Linked DNA regions of Sus scrofa. The protein of the gene in region 2 interacts with the protein of the main gene of each other region in a pairwise test. Links are inferred from orthologs where the notes say so. Each region holds a gene or a part of one and is shown on either strand. Other genes may lie near its edges.

Evidence for each region. The genes of interacting proteins can lie anywhere in the genome.
Region 1: the proteins of A2M (region 2) and C2H11orf58 interact in a two-hybrid assay, tested with the Homo sapiens proteins (2 studies listed by BioGRID and IntAct). The link is inferred for Sus scrofa from reciprocal best matches to the Homo sapiens genes A2M and C11orf58.

The regions. Positions count from the first base shown.
Region 1 is NC_010444.4:42,361,711-42,365,869, forward strand, and holds the start of C2H11orf58 (small acidic protein), read right to left. Parts: upstream 2,813-4,159; 5' UTR 2,682-2,812; coding exon 2,619-2,681; intron 1-2,618.
Region 2 is NC_010447.5:62,405,733-62,409,736, reverse strand, and holds the start of A2M (alpha-2-macroglobulin), read right to left. Parts: upstream 2,810-4,004; 5' UTR 2,752-2,809; coding exon 2,666-2,751; intron 1-2,665. UniProt on the Homo sapiens protein: Is able to inhibit all four classes of proteinases by a unique 'trapping' mechanism. This protein has a peptide stretch, called the 'bait region' which contains specific cleavage sites for different proteinases.

The sequences.
Region 1 (4,159 bases), on a different chromosome or scaffold from region 2:
GCTGCATTCTGAAAAGAACATAGGTGCCTGATACATTCTTAGAGATTCTTCATCAGTTACTAAAATTAACCTCACCCTCTCTCCTACTTCCTGAGAAGATGGCTTTCATTTCTCCACTCCAATCAGACCAATGAAAACACTTTAAAATTGGCCTCATTCTTAATACCCTTATTGTAGAACTGCAATCAATTTGCCTCCTCGTCAGGACACACTGTAGTTAACTCTTAGAATTCATTCCTACCATTGTCAGCATCTAGGATTGGATTCCATTGGTTTGTTACACCATTTTAACATGTGATGTCAGTGGGCAAGGAAAACTTTTGATTGTAATTTACATGCAGATGTTCATTAGAAACTGTTGACCAACTACATATCTACTTAGTTGATTTTCTATTTTTATTTTGAAAATTATTTTTCTTTTTAGGGCTGCACCTGTGCCATATGGAAGTGCCTAGGCTAGGTATTGAATAGGAACTGCAGCTGCTGGCCTACACTACAGCCACAGAATGCTGGATCTGAGCAGCACCTGTGACCTACTCTGCAGCTTGCAGCAATGTGGGATCCTTAACCCACTGAACAAGGCCAGGGATCGAATCAACATCTTCATGGATACTAGTCGGGTTCTTAACCCACTGAGCCACAAAGGGAACTCCTGATTTCCTAAATTTAGATGTATATTTTAAAATTTTGAATATATTCTTCTTAAAATATTTTAAAAACCATAAGCACTTAAAGATAACTCCCAATTACGAACAAAAGTATGAAAGAAACTGACAAAAAAAAAAATCACTAGGGAGTTCCTGTTCTGGCTCAGTGGTTAACAAACCCAACTGGTATCCATGAGGACATGGGCTGTGGTGTGGGCCAGCAGCTACAGCTCCAATTAGACCCCTAGCCTGGGAACCTCCATGTGCCATGGGTACAGCTCTAAAAAGACAAAAAAGAAAAAGAAAAAAATGAAAAAAAATTACTAGAAGGGGGCAAATTACTGTATTGTAATAAATATAACATTAGAAACAAAATCATTTTAAGATAATGTGTGACAGTCCTAAGACCTAATCTTGAACCATCTCCTTCAAAGAGAATACTTATAGGACTGGAAAAGGTCTTGGGTCATCCAGTTTAAACTGATCACATCAGAAGCTGTAGAAATTTAATTACTTAATCCCTTTAATTTTGTTAAATTACCTAATATCACCAAGAGTTTTCTGTCAAACTAAAAGATTATTTCTGATTCTAGAAAAACAGGTGCCTGACATTCTAGCAATCAAGTTACAGTTAAATACCAGTAAGAAAACAACGTAATGGCTTTTAAAATGGCATCAAGTTACTCAAAAGCCTAGGTAAATTCCTGGTGAAATATGGGATTACCATATTAACAAGAAATTATCTCAAAGCCAGTTTTCGGGAGGAACAGAGGGCGTGAATAAATCTCACTAGACAACTATACATCCCCAAATCTTTACTCATTACTAACCTTTCTGGAGAGCTAAAATCAATTTCCTTGAAGAGGTTTACGGTAATTTAGGACCTAACCACACCACCTACCCAAAGAGCATCTCTTTTGCTACAAACAATGCACTAACAGTATTCAGTGAGCCTTTTATGGTTTGAAAAGTAAGATACTATCAAAGTGAACAGCACTATAAAAAATAAAGAACGCTACACATTCAGAAATTGAAAGCACTTTAAATAACAGAAAGAAAACCAGATGTATTCTCCTCATCCTTAACGATGAACTCTCCATGCCCCTCCTCCCCCGAATTTCCTCATCAACGTTTCCATGGCATTTATCTATTGTACGGAGTACGTAGTTTTACGTTTACTGGTTAGTGTCCATGACGCCTCTCTAGTTGCTAGTACAAATACACAGATGGCCTAGGATAGCACCATAGTTATTCATCTTTGAATTCTTAGCACCTGGCATAGCAGTAAATATTTAATGGTTTACTTTCAGGAATGAATGGTTTGCTATTTAAACCGATAAGCTGTGGGGAGAAGGAAGAGAACTCGTACTTGACATCAAAACCGGGCTTCTATGTTTCAACGTCTCTAGTTCTCAGCACCGTGCACCAATACCAAATTATTTCCCTAGTACAATTTTTTCCGCTCAATACAGTTCTTGTTTTCTCTTAACAGTAAAGTTTAACCCTTAACAGTACATTGCAAAAATAATCCCGGTCAGAAAATCTGTCCACGTTTGCACAAAGATCTTGACTTTATCATAGGAGCATCTGAAGCGTAAAACAGGAAGGGTCTTGCCGTTTCTATTCTGAGTAGAAAGGCCCCAAAAAGAAGCTCCATCAGCTCCCAACTAGGCTAATATGGTCCCTTGACTAGGCTCTTTCACTTCTCCACCAAGGTCTTTTCACTTCACCACTGAGGATTTCCCTCCTTGATTCCCCTTCGTACGCAGGCCTCTAGCTCTTAGCCTGCGGACATCTTCAAAAATTCCGACCCTAATTAATAAAACCGAACATTTCTCATTCTTCTGGACCCAACCCCTCGGCCCTCCCGCTTCAGACCACTACAGGCGCTTCCTCCTTCATCCACCCTTCCCGGCCTACCCCAACCTTCAGCAGGCCTCAACCCTCCACCACTTCGCCATTGTTATTTACATCGTCGTCTGGAGAGGCTGAACGCTTCACCCCGTGCGGATGGGACTCCCTGGCAGCACTCATAGTTGCGGAGACACCGACAAGGAATGCCGAATCCACTCGCTGTCTTCCTCAGACGCGGCGCCAGCAGCCTACAATCTGCCACCAGCCCAAGCAGCGCCACTCCAGAAGGCAAAGCCCCTCCGGGCCTTCTCCGCCAGTCGTCACCGCCGCGGCCGCTCGCCGCCTTGGAGCACTCTGGGAGTTGTAGTTTTGTTTCACTTCATACGCACCTGTACAAGAGAGATGGGTGGCGGGACTAAAACTACAACTTCCAGAAAGCCCAGCGGCCTAGCTCGCGCTGTTTGGCGGGAGTGCCCCCCGAGGCTCCGCCTTCCTCGGCTGGTGGAGGGACTTTTCCCGCGGAAGGGAATGGCGGTGAGCGTTAGCCCTTGATTTCGTCTCCACAGAAAGAGACTCAGCCTGGGTTTTCCCCATTTCACTGTGCGACGCTGCCCCATTGACAAACGCATTCGTTACAGTTAAGCACCTAGGTTTGTAATATCTGAGGTTTTATTGAGTCCTCGCGAGTACCCGCACTCCAAAACAAAAACGTTTCAGAAAAAAATATGGCTTCTACTTTTACCCTGTGAGCTCCATTGCTCGCAGGGGATTACTAAGTCGTCAATTTAGAAAATTCTCTATGAACATCTTCCTACTCATTCTCACCGAAATGAGTTCAGCTTTGGTGTTAAGTGCCAGTTAATTGGCTATTATTGAAACTAGGATCCACCTGAGGGAATTCTGTAAGCTTTCCAAACGGCTTTGTGTGAAGTGGCAGAGAACCTCTTCAACCTCGCTGTTGGTATGTAGGCTTTGCACTTTGGGGGCCTTCACTAAGTGAAGTCCATCTCTGCCATAAAGCCCTGTATCTTTTTCTTTCCATATTAAGAAATACTTTAAAAAATTGAGGTGAAATTCACATTACATTTAAAATAAACAATTTTAAAGCCTACAATTAAGTGGCACTTAGTTCATAATGCAGTGCAACCATCACCTCTAATTCCAGGACATTTTCATCACCTGGAAGGGAACATCAATTACCATTAAGCAGCCCTTCCCCCTTCCCCCTTCTCCCCACCAATCACCAGCCTGCTGGAGTTTTAATTCATGGAGTATTAATGTGTCTGAATTTTTAGCTGGACCTGAGCCTGACTGCCTTCAATCCTAACATTATGCCGGAATCCTTTTTTTCTTACTTATTCTGATGTTCAGAGTTTCGATTTATTATTTATTTTTTTTCCATGTTAGGGCTGCACTTGCGGCATTTGGAAGTTCCCAGGCTACAAGCCAAATTGGAGCTGCAGCCAGCTGCCTACACCACAGCAACGCGGGCTCTGAGCCGCCTCTGCAGCCCACGCCAAAGCTCATGGCAACACAAGGTCCTTAACCCATTAAGGGAGGCCCGGGATCAAACCCACATCCTCCCGGATACGAGTTGGGGTCTTAACCCACTGAGCCACAATGGGGAACTCCTTGATATTTTTTAGAAGCAAGAATCA
Region 2 (4,004 bases):
CATTATATGCCAAGCATCAAATATTGGAAGGCAGCATGGCTAGAGGTGATTCCTCAATAAACCATGCCTTCCTTCATGGCCTTATATAATTCCCTCCCCTTGAATTCGACCTTGCCCTACCTATTACTTGCTTTTGGAAACAGGTCAACAATGGAAGTGATACTAAGTGACTTCCAAGGCTAGGTCCTAGGAGACTTTTCAGTTTCTGCCTTAGTTCCCTGGAATGCTTGTACTTGGGACCCTCTGTTTCGGAATCCTGCTGCATGCTGTGAGACTCCTGAACTATCTGGAAAGGATGTGTGTTGACACTCTGGTCAACATTTCTAGATAAGCCACCAGGGGATGGCCAGCATGAACTATGTGCTCCATGGGGAGCTATTTTGGACACCTAGTCCAGCTGAATCTTCAGAGGACCGTAGCGCTAGTCAACATCTAACATCAACTGCAAGGGAGAACCAAAGTGAATACTGCCCTGTAGAGTGAACCCAGCCAAACCATAGAACCACAAGAGAAAAACAATAAATTGTTGTTTTAATTCATTGCATTCTAGATTTATACCTGGAACACATAGCTACTTGACTTGTAGTAGAGACTGGCTAGTTCTACACCAAATTTCTTTCCCTTTCCTCCTGAATACACTGATTGACTGTCTCATCATGTGACTGAATTCTGGCTAATGGAGTATAAGTAAATGTGATGTACATCATATCCAGGTTTGGCATATTTAAACTTCCTATGGGCACCTTCACTTTCTTTTATTCTTTGCTTGCTGGATGAGTATGCTTTAGAAGTGACACACTGAAAATGACAAAGCCTCCATCTGCTTGGGTTACTGTGCTTTTTCACTGAGTTTTAGAGTTTCACTGAGTTTAGAGCTGTTATAGCAGCTCATGTAAAATCAACTAAATACACAACTGGAAAAAATTGGCAATATTTTCTTTTGCATTTTACTTTTATGTTCATAAGTGAGACTGATATTTAATTTTCTTCTCTTTATTATAATCCTTATGATATTAAACTCTTTTTTTTTTTTTGGAAAAAGGAAGGATTTATTATTATTTGCAGCAAGTAAGGAGAATGCTAAGGATCTTTCCCAAACAGCATCTCTGATATTAAACTCTAAAGTGATTGTATGGGTATTCTTCTTCTGTTTTCTCAATAGCCTTTTTAGGATAGGGATTATCATTTCCTTGAAAGCTTGGTAAAGCTTTTCGGTAAAATACAAAATTATTTTTACAAGTCTTCTGTAAGTGAAGGAATACTCTTTACTCTTAATTCACTTTCTTTTAAGGTCACTGGTTTATTCAATTTTTCAAAATAATCTAATGTTAGTTTTGATAATTTGTACAATTTTCATTCTTCTAGGGTACTGTCTTTTTTTCGGCTAGGCTTTCAATTTACTACGTTATTAATGTTTAGAATACTGATTTTTGTTTTTGTAATTATATCATTTTGTTGGCTTCTGTTTTATTAATTTCTGTTTTTCACAATTTCTCTGTCAATGTTTTTTTTTTTTTCCATTTTTCTAGGTTTTTTTCTCATGCATTCCAACCATTTAACAATCTTGATTTTTCAATTCATATAGTTAGTTAAGGTTTGTAAAATACTTCTATGTGTATCAGGTATTTAAACAAATGAACTAGGTATTTTGATATATTATGTTTATTCAATAGTAAATTATTGGTAACTTTCATTGTTTTTTTTTTAAGTTTTTATGATGGAGAATTTCAAACGTACATAAAATTAGACAAAGTAATGTAATGAATCCAAATATATCCACAGTGTTATATGAACATAATAAACTACTAGAGTCACAATACCCAGTTCTAATGGCCAACAATCTGTGTCCATTCTTGCCTTACCTACATCCCATCCACATTCCCATCTACTTTCTTCACCAATTCACCTTTCCTATTATCATTTTGAAGCAAATAAATATTTCAGCATGTATTTCCAAAAGAAAAGAAAACACACACATTATTTTATTATACATAAACATTTAGCAAAAGTATTTTAATATCATGAATATTCAAATATCCAGCCAGTGCACATTTATAACTTTTTTGTGAAAATGTCATGATGTTTTTCAAAAAACTGTCTTTGGAATCAAGATCAAAATTAGGTTTATACATTATGATTGATTGATATACTTTTTCAATCTCTTTAATTCCGTAGGCTTGCTCTCCTCTCTTTCTGAGACAGTTATTTGTTAGAGAAATTGAATTGCTTGTCAGTTTTCCACAGTAGGAATTTTGTAAATTATATGCTCATGATATAATTTAACACTTTTATTACTTTCTGTACACATAGAATCTACAATATGAGTTCAAATGACTCCAAACTGTACATCTTAAATATTTTTATAGTCAGCATCTTCCATCTGAAACAAAAATCTGTGAAAGTGAGGTCTGTGGTTTCAGTGTCTAATCAAATCATGCTTCTTAGTGACTACTTATTGTATTTATGACTGTTATTGACTCAATGAAAAACACTATTTCAAGAATGTAGGGTACATGAATGAAAAAAATGTATTAATCTATTATAACTGTAAGTTACCTTAAGGAATGGAAGGGTAGCATTTCATAGGAAGGGCAAGGCAAAGATATCAGGGAGAGACTGAAATAAAAAACAGATTCTTGAGCAAGGGACTTGGAGGGAGACTTACGGTTTTGCAGAATCTGAGACATTGGCAGAAAATAGGGAGAGGAGAAACAGCATGAGACGCGAATGAAGAAATCTGTCTCTCTCCATAGCGAGGAGTAAATCGCAGGTATCGTTTCTCCCTGCCTGCTGCCTGCTCTCTGAGACATTTCAGATTTACCAGGTGTTATATGTGGCTGCTATTTGCAAACAAGCTCCACCCAAAATAGAGTTCACAGCTGGGCACAGATTCTCCTGAAAGGGTTGATGCTCTCAGTGATTGCCTCATTACCCTCAAGGCTAAACTCTGACAGGCTCTGAAGAATTTCCAGAGGATAACATTTACATTCTAGTAAGAATGACCTTTCTTTGACTTTGATAGCAGAGCTCCTGATGAGGGACTTTTAACTCACCTTTCTTTAACTCCTTCAAAATTCTTATCATCAGGTTTCAAAGAAAGTTGCCTTTAAAGGTCACAAAACATGTCACTATGTGGTAACTTCTTGAAGGCAGATTCATTTCTGGGACCGAGTGAGGTATAACTTTAGGGGGACTTCTTGACAGTGGATTGAGTAAGAGGCCCTGAGAGAAGGTAATTCAAAAAAAGTGCCTATGCTTCGCTAAAATTGCAGGTGTGCCTTACCTCCAGCACTCTCTCCTGGCCTTGCTCTAGCTGCAGGCAAGCCCTACTCGCAGCACTTTCCCTCTGTGTCATTAAAGCTGCAGATGCTCCCCATCCCCCATGTTCTCCTGCAGCCTTGCTAAGGTTGGGAGGTAAGCACAGTCTGCACTTACCATGCACCTAGTTTGGTGGCCAGAGGGACTAACATTCCCAGTCCCCTCCTCCCCCCAGGTCTCTAACAATTGGAAAGACAGTTCTAGGCAGGCTACCACATCTAGGTGGTGCACAGAAAGCAGAATGAAACATAATTCCAGTCTGCCTGTGAAAAAGAGATTCTCTTGTCCAGGAGCTTCAACCTGAGAGACAGGTTTCAGCCCTTCATATAGGACTACAGATATACTCGTAGGGAACTTGGGTGGGAAGACACCATCTTTGCACTCTCCCCTGGCCTTGCCTCAGCTTGCTTATATGGATATATATAAGTCCATTTTTTGCAACTGTTACCCAGGGGATTACTGTCCCCCACCCCGGCCCAGATCTCCTGGCCTGGAAGTCAGCAGGGTCTACCACTGCAGACCACAAGATTATATGTATTTACATATTTTAAAAGCTGCTGCGTGAAGACCTGGCTTTCAGTGAGCCTGAAACTAGGTCACTCTTTTGGAACACTGACAAGCCTTCAAATACTCTCAACACTGGGATCTATTAAGAATAAAGCCAGCTACTTAGGCGATCACAAAGG